Saccharomyces cerevisiae S288C: one gene and its partners. The gene in region 3 interacts genetically with the main gene of each other region. Each region holds a gene or a part of one and is shown on either strand. Other genes may lie near its edges.

The links.
Region 1: mutations in SNF4 (region 3) and OPI3 together harm fitness more than expected from each alone (negative genetic interaction), as found in Saccharomyces cerevisiae (6 studies listed by BioGRID).
Region 2: mutations in SNF4 (region 3) and FAT1 together harm fitness more than expected from each alone (negative genetic interaction), as found in Saccharomyces cerevisiae (3 studies listed by BioGRID).
Region 4: mutations in SNF4 (region 3) and ORM2 together harm fitness more than expected from each alone (negative genetic interaction), as found in Saccharomyces cerevisiae (4 studies listed by BioGRID).

What each region holds. Positions count from the first base shown.
Region 1 is NC_001142.9:571,172-574,656, reverse strand, and holds OPI3 (bifunctional phosphatidyl-N-methylethanolamine N-methyltransferase/phosphatidyl-N-dimethylethanolamine N-methyltransferase), read left to right. Parts: upstream 1-1,721; coding exon 1,722-2,342; downstream 2,343-3,485. Other genes in the region: HOC1 (alpha-1,6-mannosyltransferase), read right to left, coding at 1-676; Ran GTPase-binding protein MOG1, read right to left, coding at 906-1,562; GTPase NPA3, read left to right, coding at 2,533-3,485. UniProt on the Saccharomyces cerevisiae protein: Catalyzes the second two steps of the methylation pathway of phosphatidylcholine biosynthesis, the SAM-dependent methylation of phosphatidylmonomethylethanolamine (PMME) to phosphatidyldimethylethanolamine (PDME) and of PDME to phosphatidylcholine (PC).
Region 2 is NC_001134.8:316,199-321,270, forward strand, and holds FAT1 (long-chain fatty acid transporter FAT1), read left to right. Parts: upstream 1-2,067; coding exon 2,068-4,077; downstream 4,078-5,072. Other genes in the region: ATP3 (F1F0 ATP synthase subunit gamma), read left to right, coding at 1-312; FIG1 (Fig1p), read left to right, coding at 770-1,666; CST26 (putative acyltransferase), read right to left, coding at 4,218-5,072. UniProt on the Saccharomyces cerevisiae protein: Acyl-CoA synthetase required for both the import of long chain fatty acids (LCFAs) (C14-C18) and the activation very long chain fatty acids (VLCFAs) (C20-C26) by esterification of the fatty acids into metabolically active CoA-thioesters for subsequent degradation or incorporation into phospholipids.
Region 3 is NC_001139.9:290,385-294,144, reverse strand, and holds SNF4 (AMP-activated serine/threonine-protein kinase regulatory subunit SNF4), read right to left. Parts: upstream 2,113-3,760; coding exon 1,144-2,112; downstream 1-1,143. Other genes in the region: YGL114W (uncharacterized protein), read right to left, coding at 1-685; ubiquitin-protein transferase activating protein CDC20, read right to left, coding at 2,504-3,760. UniProt on the Saccharomyces cerevisiae protein: Adenine nucleotides-binding subunit gamma of AMP-activated protein kinase (AMPK), an energy sensor protein kinase that plays a key role in regulating cellular energy metabolism.
Region 4 is NC_001144.5:826,801-830,523, reverse strand, and holds ORM2 (sphingolipid homeostasis protein ORM2), read right to left. Parts: upstream 1,795-3,723; coding exon 1,144-1,794; downstream 1-1,143. Other genes in the region: NIT3 (putative hydrolase), read left to right, coding at 160-1,035; DIC1 (Dic1p), read left to right, coding at 2,651-3,547. UniProt on the Saccharomyces cerevisiae protein: Component of the SPOTS complex that acts as a negative regulator of sphingolipid synthesis. Acts by inhibiting serine palmitoyltransferases (LCB1 and LCB2) activity.

The DNA of each region.
Region 1 (3,485 bases), on a different chromosome or scaffold from region 3:
GAATTGGCTGAACAGGGAACGTGTCGATGTCAGCATAAACACCTCCATGAACTAACAGTATTAAGTATTTGAAAAAATCTATCTTTAGGATGATGGAGGGCAGAGCTTCGTAAGTCTCTAGGATTTCCGGTATGGAGTAGAAGTAGTGGTGTACTAGTGCGTTTATCACGTCATGGTTCAACACTTCGTGCGCAAAGCCCGGATTCTTGCTTTCCCACATGCCCTTTATATCTTGAACACGCTCGGGACCTTCATCATTGGACCAAGTTTGCCAAATAAATGCTGGGAACTTGACATGGGAATCGTAGGGGAAAGTCATAGCTATGCGTTCTCTTAGGGTGGCCTCCGGAGGTGTTTGTTTCAAGTCTTGGATTTTTTTTTCCAGGATCTTACGTTGTTTATCAAATTGCTTTGCTTGAACTTCCTGTTGGTGTCTGATCTCCTGAGCCAAACTCTCAAAATGTTGAACTAGATCAGAATCCGAACTCTGAATATTGTTGGCACTATTAATGCTTTGGGAAATCTCTTTGGGCAAGTTCTGCAGAATTTTTTGTAAATCAGTAGCATTAGAATTGTGAAATAGGTATCTAACTCCAAATGCTAATGAGATGAGGGCTATTATGGCGAATATCATCAACCTCCTGAAACTGGAGGCTCTTTTTGTTGTTTTGGCCATCGTTAACCGCTACAGTCTATATATCTATCTGCTGTCTTCCGAGTAGAGTGCCTCTTCTCTGCAAGAATACGTGCAAAATGGAAAGAGAGGAATGTTCATTATGGTCACTGTTATTTTTTCACTTTCTTCGCTGCTGGGAAATTTCGTTATACTTATCGGAAAAAACATGTAATACGCTATATAGTAGAAATAAAAAGGTAATATAAACATAAGGTTAAAATTTGAAAGATTAAGCAAACAGCGACGTGTCCACAACGTGAAACTTCCGTACCATTTCTTGCAACAATTGGTAAACAGCATGACATCTTGCAGGCAACTCTTTGTTGCTTGCTTGCGACGCCTCCTCCTTTGTCAAAGGTACATTAATGGAGATGACCACATCCGTGTCAAACTGGGTTAATCTGATCAACGCTACGCCGATGACAACGGTCTGTGCCAGATCTGGTTTTCCCCACTTATTTGCTACTTCCATAACGAGTCCGGTGAACTTGGTTCCTTGCTGAACAGTGTCTTCTTGTAAAGCTTCCCATTTGGTGGTCCCGTTCAACTCCGTCAGGTCTTCCACGTGGAACTGCCAAGCCTCCTTCAGATCGCTCTTGTCGACCGTCTCCAAGAGATCCACGATAATGCTTTCATTGGTGGCTAGTCCATCTTCGAATTCTTCTTCATCGCGACGGGAATTGACGTACACCTCCTGTGTATCGGGGACTTCTCTTAGAGTAGAAGCGTCTATAAACCCAGGTGGGACGACAGTAGTGATGGCGCCGCCGTATAATTCGACTTCCTTGTTGTTCATGCTTCCTTGATGACCAGGGTAGGTGTCAATGAGAGTGCATGTGGAAAGTTGCACCGGTTGTGAAATATGAGAAGCCTTTTCAATCTTCATATGCAAACCCACACATGCATCGTTGGTTTCTGTCCACTGCCACTGCAATGACCACTGGATAAGGGGTCTTTATAAGAGAACACATATGAAGAACATGAACGTTCTTGGACAGAGCCATAAACAGCAATTGAAGACAACAAGAATAGCGCAAGTCAAGCGATGAAGGAGTCAGTCCAAGAGATCATCCAGCAACTCATCCACAGTGTCGATTTACAGTCTTCCAAGTTCCAGCTGGCCATTGTGTGCACGATGTTCAATCCTATCTTTTGGAACATCGTTGCAAGAATGGAATACCACAAGCATTCTCTCACCAAGATGTGTGGTGGGGCCAGAAAGGGCTGTTACATGTTGGCGGCGACCATATTTTCGCTAGGTATCGTCAGAGACATGGTGTACGAGTCTGCATTGCGTGAACAGCCTACGTGTTCTCTGATCACGGGCGAGAACTGGACCAAGCTGGGTGTGGCTCTCTTTGGTTTGGGGCAAGTGCTTGTTTTGAGTTCCATGTACAAGCTGGGTATCACAGGGACGTACTTGGGTGACTATTTCGGCATCCTGATGGATGAGAGAGTCACCGGCTTCCCCTTCAACGTTTCCAACAACCCCATGTACCAGGGTTCCACTTTGTCCTTCTTGGGCATAGCCCTTTACAAAGGAAAGCCTGCGGGGCTGGTTGTTTCTGCCGTAGTTTACTTCATGTACAAGATCGCTCTTCGTTGGGAAGAACCTTTTACTGCCATGATCTACGCTAACCGTGATAAGGCCAAAAAGAATATGTAAGTGCTCTATTTCTATATATTCTATAATGTTAGAAGCCTATGCTATTACCGTTTCTATATAGCTCCATAAGCAATTTCTTCGCGAAAGTGAAAAAAAAAAATTTTAATGCGATGCTCTATTTAACAAGGAATACAATGAGAGCATCTAGCGCACACAAACAACTACAAAACGCAATAACGACACAGCAAGAATGAGTCTCAGCACAATCATATGTATTGGTATGGCCGGATCCGGTAAAACAACTTTCATGCAAAGGTTAAACTCCCACTTGCGGGCAGAGAAAACGCCACCATACGTAATCAATCTTGATCCTGCAGTATTGAGAGTCCCCTATGGTGCAAACATCGATATCAGAGACTCAATCAAATACAAGAAAGTGATGGAGAATTACCAGCTAGGTCCGAACGGTGCCATTGTCACCAGTTTGAATTTGTTCAGCACCAAGATTGATCAAGTTATTAGGTTGGTGGAACAGAAGAAGGACAAGTTCCAAAACTGCATCATCGACACTCCAGGCCAAATCGAATGTTTTGTGTGGAGTGCGTCGGGTGCCATTATCACGGAATCTTTTGCCTCCAGCTTTCCCACAGTGATTGCATATATCGTGGATACGCCTAGAAACTCATCCCCAACTACATTCATGAGTAACATGCTGTACGCCTGCTCCATTCTGTATAAGACCAAACTTCCCATGATTGTCGTTTTCAACAAGACCGACGTGTGCAAGGCAGATTTTGCTAAGGAATGGATGACGGATTTTGAGAGTTTCCAAGCAGCAATCAAGGAAGATCAAGACTTGAATGGTGACAATGGGCTGGGCTCCGGGTACATGAGCTCATTGGTCAATTCTATGTCACTGATGCTTGAAGAATTCTATTCCCAGCTAGACGTCGTGGGCGTTTCCAGTTTTACCGGAGACGGATTCGACGAATTTATGCAATGCGTAGACAAGAAAGTTGATGAATACGACCAATACTATAAGCAAGAACGTGAAAAAGCATTGAACCTAAAAAAGAAAAAGGAAGAGATGAGAAAGCAAAAATCATTGAATGGCCTGATGAAGGATCTAGGGTTAAACGAGAAGAGCAGCGCTGCAGCCAGCGACAACGACAGCATAGATGCCATTAGCGACCTCGAAGAGGA
Region 2 (5,072 bases), on a different chromosome or scaffold from region 3:
GAACCATCTGAAAAACCGATCTTTAACGCCAAGACCATTGAACAATCCCCATCATTCGGCAAATTTGAGATCGACACGGACGCAAACGTTCCAAGAGATTTGTTTGAATATACTTTGGCTAACCAAATGTTGACAGCAATGGCTCAAGGTTATGCTGCTGAAATTTCCGCCAGAAGAAACGCTATGGATAACGCTTCCAAGAATGCCGGTGATATGATCAATCGTTACTCTATCTTGTACAACAGAACAAGACAAGCTGTCATTACTAATGAACTGGTTGATATTATTACTGGTGCTTCCTCTTTGGGATGATAAAAAAATCACCCTGCATTGCCTCTTTATTTGACGTTGTTTTTGTAGAACATGAAACGAATTTTGACTTGATGAGACGAAGTATATATCCAAAGAATACCTTAAATAGAAAAGGAAAGATAATAAATACTAAACACTACTATATATTCAGGTAAAATACAAAAATTATAACATTTTTAAAACTTTTTTTTTTTGAAAGTCCTTCTCGCTTTAGGATTTTTTCCCATTAAGATTATGATGGTTTCATGTATGTGTCAGTTAAAAAAAATATGGCTAAGTAGCAATGAAACGAACCAAGAAAATGAAAACAATATATAGTGCTGTTGAAATAACAAAGACATTGGTATATATTTGTAAAATGTCTGTTAAATGTTTTTTATCTCAGGTTCTTGCTTGTCTTTGGTAGAAGAAATTATAGTAAACAAACAAACAAACAAACAAAAAAAAAAAAAAAAAAATGGTCGCAATCTCAATGATTTGGTTTTTTACCAAGCGTATGCCCAGAATATTTGCATTAGCTTTTAATTTAATTTCAATATTTCTTTTGATTTTTCTTCTCATCGGCTGTTACAACCCGTCAAATCAGTCAACATTTCTAGTGAAGTATAAATTTGATGACAACTCACCTTTTTATACGATCATAGAGAAATCATATGAAAAATCAAATACAACTCTGGGCTTGGAGGAAGTCATTATAAGATCCGGTTACATGGGTGTTTGTATTGATAACATTCCCTCCCAATATAGCTCTTACAATAATATGACTACATTCTCCAATTCAATTTGCTATGCAAGAAAGAATTTAAGCTCGGTTCCCTTATACAGAGACTTGGAAATTCAACTCTCAAATATTGCATCTTCCAGCTCCAAAACCCAATCAAGCGTTGTCTTGAACATTTTGAAGTTAGCCCAATTAACTTCGGTTAATGTTATACATCCATATGTCTTGATGGCAACTGTAATCCTAACAATCCTAATGTTTCTATTTATTCTGTATGTAACTGTCCCTAAGTTACCATTCAAACTAGCGGTTAATAAATTTCTACTGTTGCTAAGTTCAACTATAGTTTTGACATGGGGTATTGGTGCGATGTGGACTCATGTAGGGATAAATGCAAGTTACAGATTGGTTCCATCATCAAGTATGAATATAATCACTGTCAAGAAGGGCAAGAAGGCAGCAGTAATGGCTTGGTTTAGCTTTGCATTCCTCCTTTTAGACAGTGTGGTTTTATGGTTAATATTTTTAAGGGATAGGAAAAGCTTGAAAGATGAAATTGATAATGTTCCATGTGCCCAAAATAGGTACAATAACTACTCTTCGGATTCATCTACATTGCATTCCAAAGTTTAGTTTTATCCTCAAATAAACATATAAGTTTTGAGCGGATATTTCAGAATGTCAATTTTTAAAAGTAAAAGGAGAAAAAATTTATATAATTCACGATTAACATTATATAATGTGATGAACTACTTAAAAAATTTAACGTTCGATAATTAAGTAACAACAGAGAAAATATGAGCTTACCTAAACTCTAATCATTACCGTCTGTTTTATTTACTGTCACCTTGATGAGCGACTAAAAAGATAGAACGCGGGTTTTTCGCGCAATGTAACAAAGCTCCAGAAATTTTTTATAAATACTAATGTTATAGCAAAAAAAATAAGGACCTTAAAGTCGTAAACTAAATTGAAAAGCCCAAATCATTCAAATTCTATATCGTTGAACTTTTAATAGGCTGCGAATACCGACTATGTCTCCCATACAGGTTGTTGTCTTTGCCTTGTCAAGGATTTTCCTGCTATTATTCAGACTTATCAAGCTAATTATAACCCCTATCCAGAAATCACTGGGTTATCTATTTGGTAATTATTTTGATGAATTAGACCGTAAATATAGATACAAGGAGGATTGGTATATTATTCCTTACTTTTTGAAAAGCGTGTTTTGTTATATCATTGATGTGAGAAGACATAGGTTTCAAAACTGGTACTTATTTATTAAACAGGTCCAACAAAATGGTGACCATTTAGCGATTAGTTACACCCGTCCCATGGCCGAAAAGGGAGAATTTCAACTCGAAACCTTTACGTATATTGAAACTTATAACATAGTGTTGAGATTGTCTCATATTTTGCATTTTGATTATAACGTTCAGGCCGGTGACTACGTGGCAATCGATTGTACTAATAAACCTCTTTTCGTATTTTTATGGCTTTCTTTGTGGAACATTGGGGCTATTCCAGCTTTTTTAAACTATAATACTAAAGGCACTCCGCTGGTTCACTCCCTAAAGATTTCCAATATTACGCAGGTATTTATTGACCCTGATGCCAGTAATCCGATCAGAGAATCGGAAGAAGAAATCAAAAACGCACTTCCTGATGTTAAATTAAACTATCTTGAAGAACAAGACTTAATGCATGAACTTTTAAATTCGCAATCACCGGAATTCTTACAACAAGACAACGTTAGGACACCACTAGGCTTGACCGATTTTAAACCCTCTATGTTAATTTATACATCTGGAACCACTGGTTTGCCTAAATCCGCTATTATGTCTTGGAGAAAATCCTCCGTAGGTTGTCAAGTTTTTGGTCATGTTTTACATATGACTAATGAAAGCACTGTGTTCACAGCCATGCCATTGTTCCATTCAACTGCTGCCTTATTAGGTGCGTGCGCCATTCTATCTCACGGTGGTTGCCTTGCGTTATCGCATAAATTTTCTGCCAGTACATTTTGGAAGCAAGTTTATTTAACAGGAGCCACGCACATCCAATATGTCGGAGAAGTCTGTAGATACCTGTTACATACGCCAATTTCTAAGTATGAAAAGATGCATAAGGTGAAGGTTGCTTATGGTAACGGGCTGAGACCTGACATCTGGCAGGACTTCAGGAAGAGGTTCAACATAGAAGTTATTGGTGAATTCTATGCCGCAACTGAAGCTCCTTTTGCTACAACTACCTTCCAGAAAGGTGACTTTGGAATTGGCGCATGTAGGAACTATGGTACTATAATTCAATGGTTTTTGTCATTCCAACAAACATTGGTAAGGATGGACCCAAATGACGATTCCGTTATATATAGAAATTCCAAGGGTTTCTGCGAAGTGGCCCCTGTTGGCGAACCAGGAGAAATGTTAATGAGAATCTTTTTCCCTAAAAAACCAGAAACATCTTTTCAAGGTTATCTTGGTAATGCCAAGGAAACAAAGTCCAAAGTTGTGAGGGATGTCTTCAGACGTGGCGATGCTTGGTATAGATGTGGAGATTTATTAAAAGCGGACGAATATGGATTATGGTATTTCCTTGATAGAATGGGTGATACTTTCAGATGGAAATCTGAAAATGTTTCCACTACTGAAGTAGAAGATCAGTTGACGGCCAGTAACAAAGAACAATATGCACAAGTTCTAGTTGTTGGTATTAAAGTACCTAAATATGAAGGTAGAGCTGGTTTTGCAGTTATTAAACTAACTGACAACTCTCTTGACATCACTGCAAAGACCAAATTATTAAATGATTCCTTGAGCCGGTTAAATCTACCGTCTTATGCTATGCCCCTATTTGTTAAATTTGTTGATGAAATTAAAATGACAGATAATCATAAAATTTTGAAGAAGGTTTATAGAGAGCAAAAATTACCAAAGGGTTTGGATGGAAATGACACTATTTTTTGGCTCAAGAATTACAAGCGCTATGAAGTCTTGACCGCTGCTGATTGGGAAGCCATCGATGCACAAACAATTAAATTATGATTTGATGTTCCTGAATTAGGATAAAGTATTTTTCCTTGCACGAGAGTACGTATGTAAACGTAATATTGATAAAGAATCAAAAAAAGTTTTATATCTATCTATATATGTACCTAATAACATATGGAAAGGATTATTTAAATTCAAAAAATAAAACAATAAAGTTTATAAACTAACCAAATTATTGTTAGAGTTGGTAATATTAGCACTTCAGTTAACTCAATACGATTGATCTTGAAACTATCGGTAACTGAATGGTTTGTTTCAGGATCACTTACGAATGATCCAGTGGAATAGTACCTTTCCATTAGAGCATCCTTCTCACTCCAAATTTTATACAGCCATTCTGAAAATTCATTCTCGTCCTCTAATGGAATATCTTTAACATCAAATGCTCTGATGTGAATATCGACTAACTTCGGGTATTTTCCTTCTAAAAATATGCTCTTCAGCCCATATATAAGCTCACCATATTCCTCCTGTTTTACACCGGAGTAGCCGATCGTAATATCATAAAGACTTTCAATACTTGGCTTCAACTTTTGTAACGAGTATCTTAGGCCTGTAGAATGAGGCAGTAGCACATTCTTGAATGGCTTTTTGCCTATTTTGGCAGCATATTTAGCACTTTTTTGCCTAGTATCAGCACTGAGATTTGTACCTTCAGGGAATAGGATAAGATTGTATGGCCAATGGATTTGTTTTGGATCAATAACCTCCGGATTCCATATGCTCTCTCCTTCCTCAGTTATGCGCTCAGGTGACTTTCCAGCAAGTGAGCCGGCGCCCCTTGCATTCGAATCAAGGCCAGCAAGGCTGTTGCTTAGGGTTATTTTGTCTTGTGCCCACTTTCTACTCATAAAAATGAAATTATAGTTTCTCATACCGAAACCGAGGATAGGAATGGAAGCCAACGATTTTTTTAAAATAATGAAGACATTAGCCCCTAAGTTCGATGTGTAAGCCAACCACCATAAAAATATCCAATCCGTGTATAT
Region 3 (3,760 bases):
GTTCGCTATGAGAAGAGTTCATTAAATAATCCGCCTCCTCTGGATCTCTGTTGGGTTGTAGCACTTCAGGGCATTCATTCAATCTCCTCTGCCTCATTTCCAATAACTCTGACTTAGAAACCTCTTGTAAAATCTCAGTTCCATTTAGCACTGAAATTAAAGTGGCCGTGGCGCTACCACTGGGGAAGGGAAGTTTCTCTCTAACAATTACTTGCTTTCTTAGAGGAACTGCAAAAAAAATACCGAAGAATGCTAGGGCTGTGGACCATATTAACAATTCTCTAAAAGTGAAGGACTGTCCTTGTTCCCTTAATCCACCACTTTCGTCGTTAGTAAGGAACTTCTCGATGGCAGGTATGACGCCGACAAACCCAAAGGCTAATGGGCCTGTTCCGACAGCTACTGCCATACTTTGTACGTATACATTTTCAACGTCACTGAAAGGCCTGTCGTTCGGAAATATTAATGGCCAGATATTTTTAAAGAAAGCACAAGCTAACAATGCCGATGGCAGGGACATCATGGAAACCCAACCGGTTTGCAGGCCAAATTGAAAATTTGATGTTAGCACCAGAGACCCTATAGCGATACCTGCTATGGTTGCTCGGAGTGTTATCTGCTTCAAAGCAGGTTTATTATCCCATGGTACACGCTGTACTTCTTGACTTGGAGTAGATTGAGGCATTTCAAAGTATTTACAGTACCGATTTAGAATCTTTAACGGTTAGTCCTCTATACTGTGACTCTTTTTCTTCCTATCTTGGTGCGAAAATAAAAAAAATGATGCCTTGAGATAGATCTCACGAAAAATACCTTCTACGGCGTTAAATTTACAGCTTTTCTTTAGCTGCCTGTACCTTTTTGATGAACTAATTTATTTTGGTATCAACAGACAATACTACAAAAGGCTTTGCATTATCTTCCTTCACCCTTATATGCAGCATTCCCCCCTCCCAGAGATCGCATCAGTATCATTACTAATCGATTTTTCACTTCGCTTTATAACCGAATTTCCGCCGAATTATACCCAAAATAAGCAAGATGAAAATATATTGGTCAGATGAAGTATGCATGACTGATTAATCATGACTTTATTAGTTGCATTTATTTATAGTATGTACACAAAAATCTCATCGGCTCGTTTCAGTTGCTACCTAGAAGGATATATTTGAGAATATCGCTTAACGTCAAGACACCAACCAACCGTCCGACGTCATCAACTACAAAGAATCTATGCACCCTTGCTTTTCTGATGTTATCCATAATAGTAGATAATTTATCATTCTTAGTGCATGTATAAACACCCTCAAAATCATCACTTCTCCTCATAAGGGCTTCTCCGACGCTCAATGACAGGTCGTTGTAGATGCCTCCTTTTATCAAGCCTAGGACATCGTATGCTTCATATACGTTGATTAAGTAGCCGTTTTCGTCAATAATAGGGACGGAAGAAACCCGACCTTGGGTAAGCATCTGAATGACGTCTATGACCGGAGTGGTCATTTGACAGCTTTTCATGTTATCTTGCGTAATAATGTTCAAGTCCCCAATTGGAATCTTTAGAAAATGTGTTTCCCTGCAATTTAAAGCAACGAACTTCAGAATTCTATATTGCGTAAGAACACTAACGACAATTTCTCTATGTGTCTCTTCATCTTGATCGATCAGTGGTATTCTACCACTTCTTGATTCTAACATCTTAAGACACGCCTCAAATAAGGGTCTAGAAGGATGAATTGAAGCTGTATCTAGTTGATCAACACCGAGAGCACGCTCTATATCTTTTAATCCATCTAACTGTAATTTGTCTACTAATTCGAACTTATCTGGATTGGAGAAGTAATACTGGATGACATTAATAAAATCTGTAGTAGTTAGAAGTCCAGCGAACCTGGAAGTCTTGGAGTCCCATAATGGCGCAGAGACAATGCTATTTTGCAAAAGAACATTCAGTGATTTCTTCACTAACAACGAGGTGTCCAAGACAATTAAACGGTAAGAAACAGGCAACACGTCATAAGATGTTTTCGAGTTCAAAAACTTCCTTATCGATTCTACAGCTAACTGCTGTTCAATAGAAACCTTTTCTTGTGAATCCTGTGTCGGTTTCATTATGTATTTTCCTTTTCGCTTCCTCCTAATGCTAACACAGCAGAAGATGTTTAGCTAACGTTAAAAGATTGATACAATTTTCCAGTTTGCAGCAAAACCACTAGCCCAAGAAGTTCTCAATGTAGATATTATGTTAATAACGATTATTGCATTGCTATGGTTTCTTCCAAGGCCTAAATTTTGTTATTTGCTAAATTTCTCTCCCTCCCAGTTCTCGCGCGTGTGGTGTGTGGGTTCTTTAACATGTGATGAGTTATATCTTGATGTATTCTCAAGGTTCATTACTTTTATTTCTTAAGCTTCTTGAATACATTTATGTTTATACATTATGTATGCGTGTATGGAAATTTCATTATATGCCTTGACATGAACTTTTATTTTTTTTATTTTATCACCTGATCAAATATTGGCTGGTACTAGAGGGCCTCCTTGTATGAATCTCACTCGAATTTTTGGAACGATTCTCCTTATCATTTGTTCGACAACCTTCCTTGCCAATAAGTCCTAGCATACCATCCATCAATCCGTCTTCTCTCGATCTTCCTGTACATCTTGGATCAAATATCTTATAAAATTTTAAGTTTTCATCTCCTCCCACTGTGGCCAATGTGGTTCCGTCAGGGGACAATTGAGAACAGCATATTCTTGCTTCATGAGCATGAACTACTTCTGCAACTTTGAATTTTGTTTCATAATTATAAACAGAGATTGCATTCTCTGGATTACCTCCTGTGGCAACAATCTCTTTATTCATCATACCACCATTGGTTGACGTATGACTTTGGCCCCAATGTAAAGAGCTCACCTGGGATCCGGTATTGATTGAGCCAACTCGTGCACCTGTGATACTGTTCCAAAAATGGATGTGTTTATCTGTTTGTCCGCCTCCAGAGGCTAGAATATTTGGCGAATATGGACACCAGCTTAGTGCTTTTACAGCAGCAGTATGCGTCTTCTTGGAAAATTGAGGCAAGGACGTTCTGGTATCCCAAATCATTACAGTGTTATCATTACCACCAGATGCAAGTTGCAATCCGTCACTTTTATAGCTCAAACCGCAGACTTCGCCTGTGTGCTCTGCCCATGTAGATACAATATGCTGTTTGATCCTGACATCATTGATTTGAATTTCTCCACTACGACTGCCTGTAGCTATCAAAGTATCTAACCAAGACAATGAACCGATACGGACACCTAAGCCTGATCTCATAGTTCTAATTAATGACATGGTCTCAACGTCCCAAATTTCGGTGTTCCCATCCTCTTTACCGATAGAGATATGACAATCATCATCAGACCACGTAACGCTGCATATTGTGGTGTTTTCGAAATCCGTTAACAGGGAAACATCCCCAGTGGTGGCATTCCACAGATATAATGCAGTGTCTAGTGCTATAGCTAAGACATTTTTTTTGGACCAACTTAACAAGTTTAAATAAAAGTCGTCTTGGAAACCAGGTGCATCAAGAATTCTTTCCGGATTGGTATTGATTTTCCTTAATTTAATTAAATCAGGAATTTTTTGTTCCTGCTGATAACTATAATGTGTTCTTTTCTTCATGATATAGCTTTTTTGTCTCAAGGAAGAGCATTTTGGTGGTTCCGGCATGTATTGTAGTATTCTTTTATTCATATCTAACCCACACGC
Region 4 (3,723 bases), on a different chromosome or scaffold from region 3:
TTCTGAAACCATGCGGGCCTTATCAATGCACAGATACGTCATCAGGTACGAACACGATATTAAAATTATCAATAATGTTGTATGATATCTTGCTAACTTAATTTGATTCTTGTAAAAACACAGCTTTTGTAGTAGCAGGAGGGCGTGAAGATCGCCAGTATGAGTGCTTCGAAGATTCTTTCACAAAAAATTAAAGTTGCGTTGGTCCAACTGTCAGGCTCGAGTCCTGACAAAATGGCCAATCTTCAAAGGGCTGCAACGTTCATTGAAAGGGCTATGAAGGAACAGCCGGATACCAAGTTGGTCGTATTGCCAGAATGCTTCAATTCTCCGTACTCCACTGATCAGTTTAGAAAGTATTCAGAAGTTATCAATCCGAAAGAGCCTTCGACGTCAGTTCAATTTCTGTCTAATTTAGCCAATAAGTTTAAAATCATCTTGGTAGGAGGAACAATTCCGGAATTGGATCCAAAGACAGACAAAATCTACAACACCTCTATAATTTTCAACGAGGATGGCAAGTTGATTGACAAGCATCGGAAGGTCCATCTTTTCGATGTAGACATTCCTAACGGTATATCGTTCCATGAAAGTGAAACCTTGAGCCCTGGAGAGAAGTCTACTACCATTGACACGAAATATGGTAAGTTTGGCGTAGGTATATGCTATGACATGAGGTTTCCGGAACTCGCAATGCTAAGTGCACGCAAGGGTGCGTTTGCCATGATCTACCCTAGTGCATTCAACACTGTCACAGGGCCCTTGCATTGGCATTTACTGGCAAGAAGCAGGGCAGTTGACAACCAAGTGTACGTGATGTTATGTTCTCCCGCAAGGAATCTACAGAGTTCTTACCATGCATATGGCCACTCTATAGTGGTGGACCCTAGAGGCAAGATTGTAGCTGAAGCTGGCGAGGGAGAAGAGATTATTTATGCTGAATTAGATCCCGAAGTCATTGAGTCATTTAGACAAGCGGTACCCTTAACCAAACAAAGAAGATTTGACGTGTACTCCGATGTAAATGCGCATTAGAGAGAATATAAAGAAAGATGATGATGTAAGGTATACGTACATATACATATACACATACATACATATATATATATATATATATACATATATGCGTATAGGCAGAGCCAACTAACTAATTTGAGCACGGCCCGTAATACCAGGGATGGATATTCTTAGTCTATGCGTAATTCCCAGCTTAGGAACGACACCAATAAGCACCGTCACGGCGAGGTTGGAGAGGAATAGTGTCATGTCGTTGCGGTAGTACTGGTTGCTAATCAGGAACAACACAATGGGTACAATCAGCAGAAATTTTCTAGTGGGTGTGTACAAAGTCTCATCGTTAATCTGCTCCCACATGGTCAGGTTGTCGTACGCACCACCGTTAAAGTCGAAGGGCGTACCTTTGACAAGGTGGAACATGATATAGAATCCGATGATGTAGGTCATGTTTGTTAAAGTCCACGTCCATTTGGGCGTCGACCCGAACAAGGAGTAGAAGAGCCTCAAGAGTACTATTACGACGATATGAATCAACCACGCGCCTCGCTGGTCGACCCACGTAGCGTTCATGTTGGGAAGCATCTGCTGGTCATTTTCGTCTTCGAAGGTTTCCTGTTCCACATGTGATATTACGCTGGATGACCGTCTTCTCCTATGGTCGGTCACTGGAGTGGATATTTTGTTGCTTTGAGAAGGGAATGGTTTCAGGTTAGACACATTGGGGGTAAGCGGAGACTCTTCAAAAGCTGGAGATTCGTTTTTAGTGCGGTCAATCATGATGAAACTGTTTCTTATGCGTTTTTATAATGGTATAGTCTTGCGTTAATTCTCTAATTCTACGTGCGGAAGAGAGAAGCTGACCTAATGATACGAAGATATATTTGAGTATACGTATGTATATATATGTTTACGTCTGTGTATGTGTGTCCTTACAAGGAGTGCCTCTCGGTTTTGTTTCATGCCATCGCAATCCTTTACTCGGAATCCATTCTCGGTTTCGCCCGCTCTTTCGCTCACCCTCTGTCTCTGCCAAAGCCACGATTACGGGACAGGCTATCTTTCTCAAAAGGGCGCCAGAAAAAAACGGCGTGGAGACAAAGAAGGCATTAACCTCGTTGAGTGAAAAGAGTTGTGCTTTTCACAGCATGAGTATTCCCCCCCACTATATATGAGCAATCAAAATACGCCATACTCATCCATGCGATGCTCAACCAACTGGTTTATATCGTGAGTTCTTGGCAGAACCATCCTCAATGCCGGGGACCCTAAATTTAATCTTCGTTCTTTGCGGATACGGTCACGCATCCGCAGAACAGCGCATCCGCTGTCGTTGTTGGAGTTATGGCCGCGATAGTAGGAACGGTCGCAGAAGGTATCGCGTCGCAATCTCAGTTGAGTGCCAAGGAAAGGGCCCTCTCCACTGTACGTCGTAGACATGTTTGTATAAAAGGGCTGCAAGGTGTGGTCTTTGGCAAGCGATTACGCTGCAATGTTGGGGGCAGGAAACGGTCGGGCGGTCGGCTTGTAGTGTATATATATATATGGATATACATAATCGTATGCATATTTATGTGTAGAGGTTCGTTTCTCTTGCTCTGAAAGTGTCGAAAAGATAACGCAACAGCTGGACGGCATGTCAACCAACGCAAAAGAGTCTGCCGGTAAGAATATCAAGTATCCATGGTGGTACGGAGGTGCAGCGGGTATCTTTGCTACCATGGTGACACATCCTCTTGACTTGGCCAAAGTCAGACTGCAGGCGGCTCCTATGCCCAAGCCCACACTCTTCAGGATGTTGGAGAGTATCTTGGCGAATGAAGGTGTGGTGGGGTTATATTCCGGCCTGAGCGCTGCTGTGTTGAGGCAATGTACATACACGACGGTGAGATTCGGTGCATACGACTTGTTGAAAGAGAATGTGATCCCACGCGAGCAATTGACTAACATGGCGTATCTTTTACCTTGCTCCATGTTCAGTGGTGCCATTGGGGGGCTTGCAGGGAATTTTGCAGATGTTGTAAATATCAGAATGCAAAACGACTCTGCTTTGGAGGCAGCGAAGAGGAGAAACTACAAAAACGCTATCGATGGTGTGTACAAGATATATCGCTACGAGGGTGGACTGAAAACCTTGTTTACCGGTTGGAAGCCTAACATGGTTAGGGGCATACTGATGACGGCAAGTCAGGTCGTTACGTATGACGTGTTTAAGAACTACTTGGTCACAAAATTAGATTTCGACGCATCCAAGAACTATACACACTTGACAGCGTCCCTGTTGGCTGGCCTGGTGGCCACCACTGTGTGCTCTCCAGCAGACGTCATGAAGACACGTATCATGAACGGCAGCGGAGACCATCAACCGGCTTTGAAGATCCTTGCCGACGCTGTCCGCAAAGAGGGCCCATCTTTCATGTTCCGGGGGTGGTTGCCAAGTTTCACTAGACTGGGTCCATTCACAATGTTAATTTTCTTTGCAATTGAGCAATTGAAAAAACATAGGGTTGGCATGCCAAAGGAAGACAAGTAGGCAGATTTATATACATATAAACATAAAGATACATAGCAAATAAAGAAAGCAAGAAGAGTAAAGCTTGTACACGGTTGGTAGGTATAACGCAAAGGACGCTTTCGGTATTTTTTTTTCTATTCTTGTTCTTGTTGGAAACGTTGCAACCATGTCCCGATACATAGATAACCAGCATT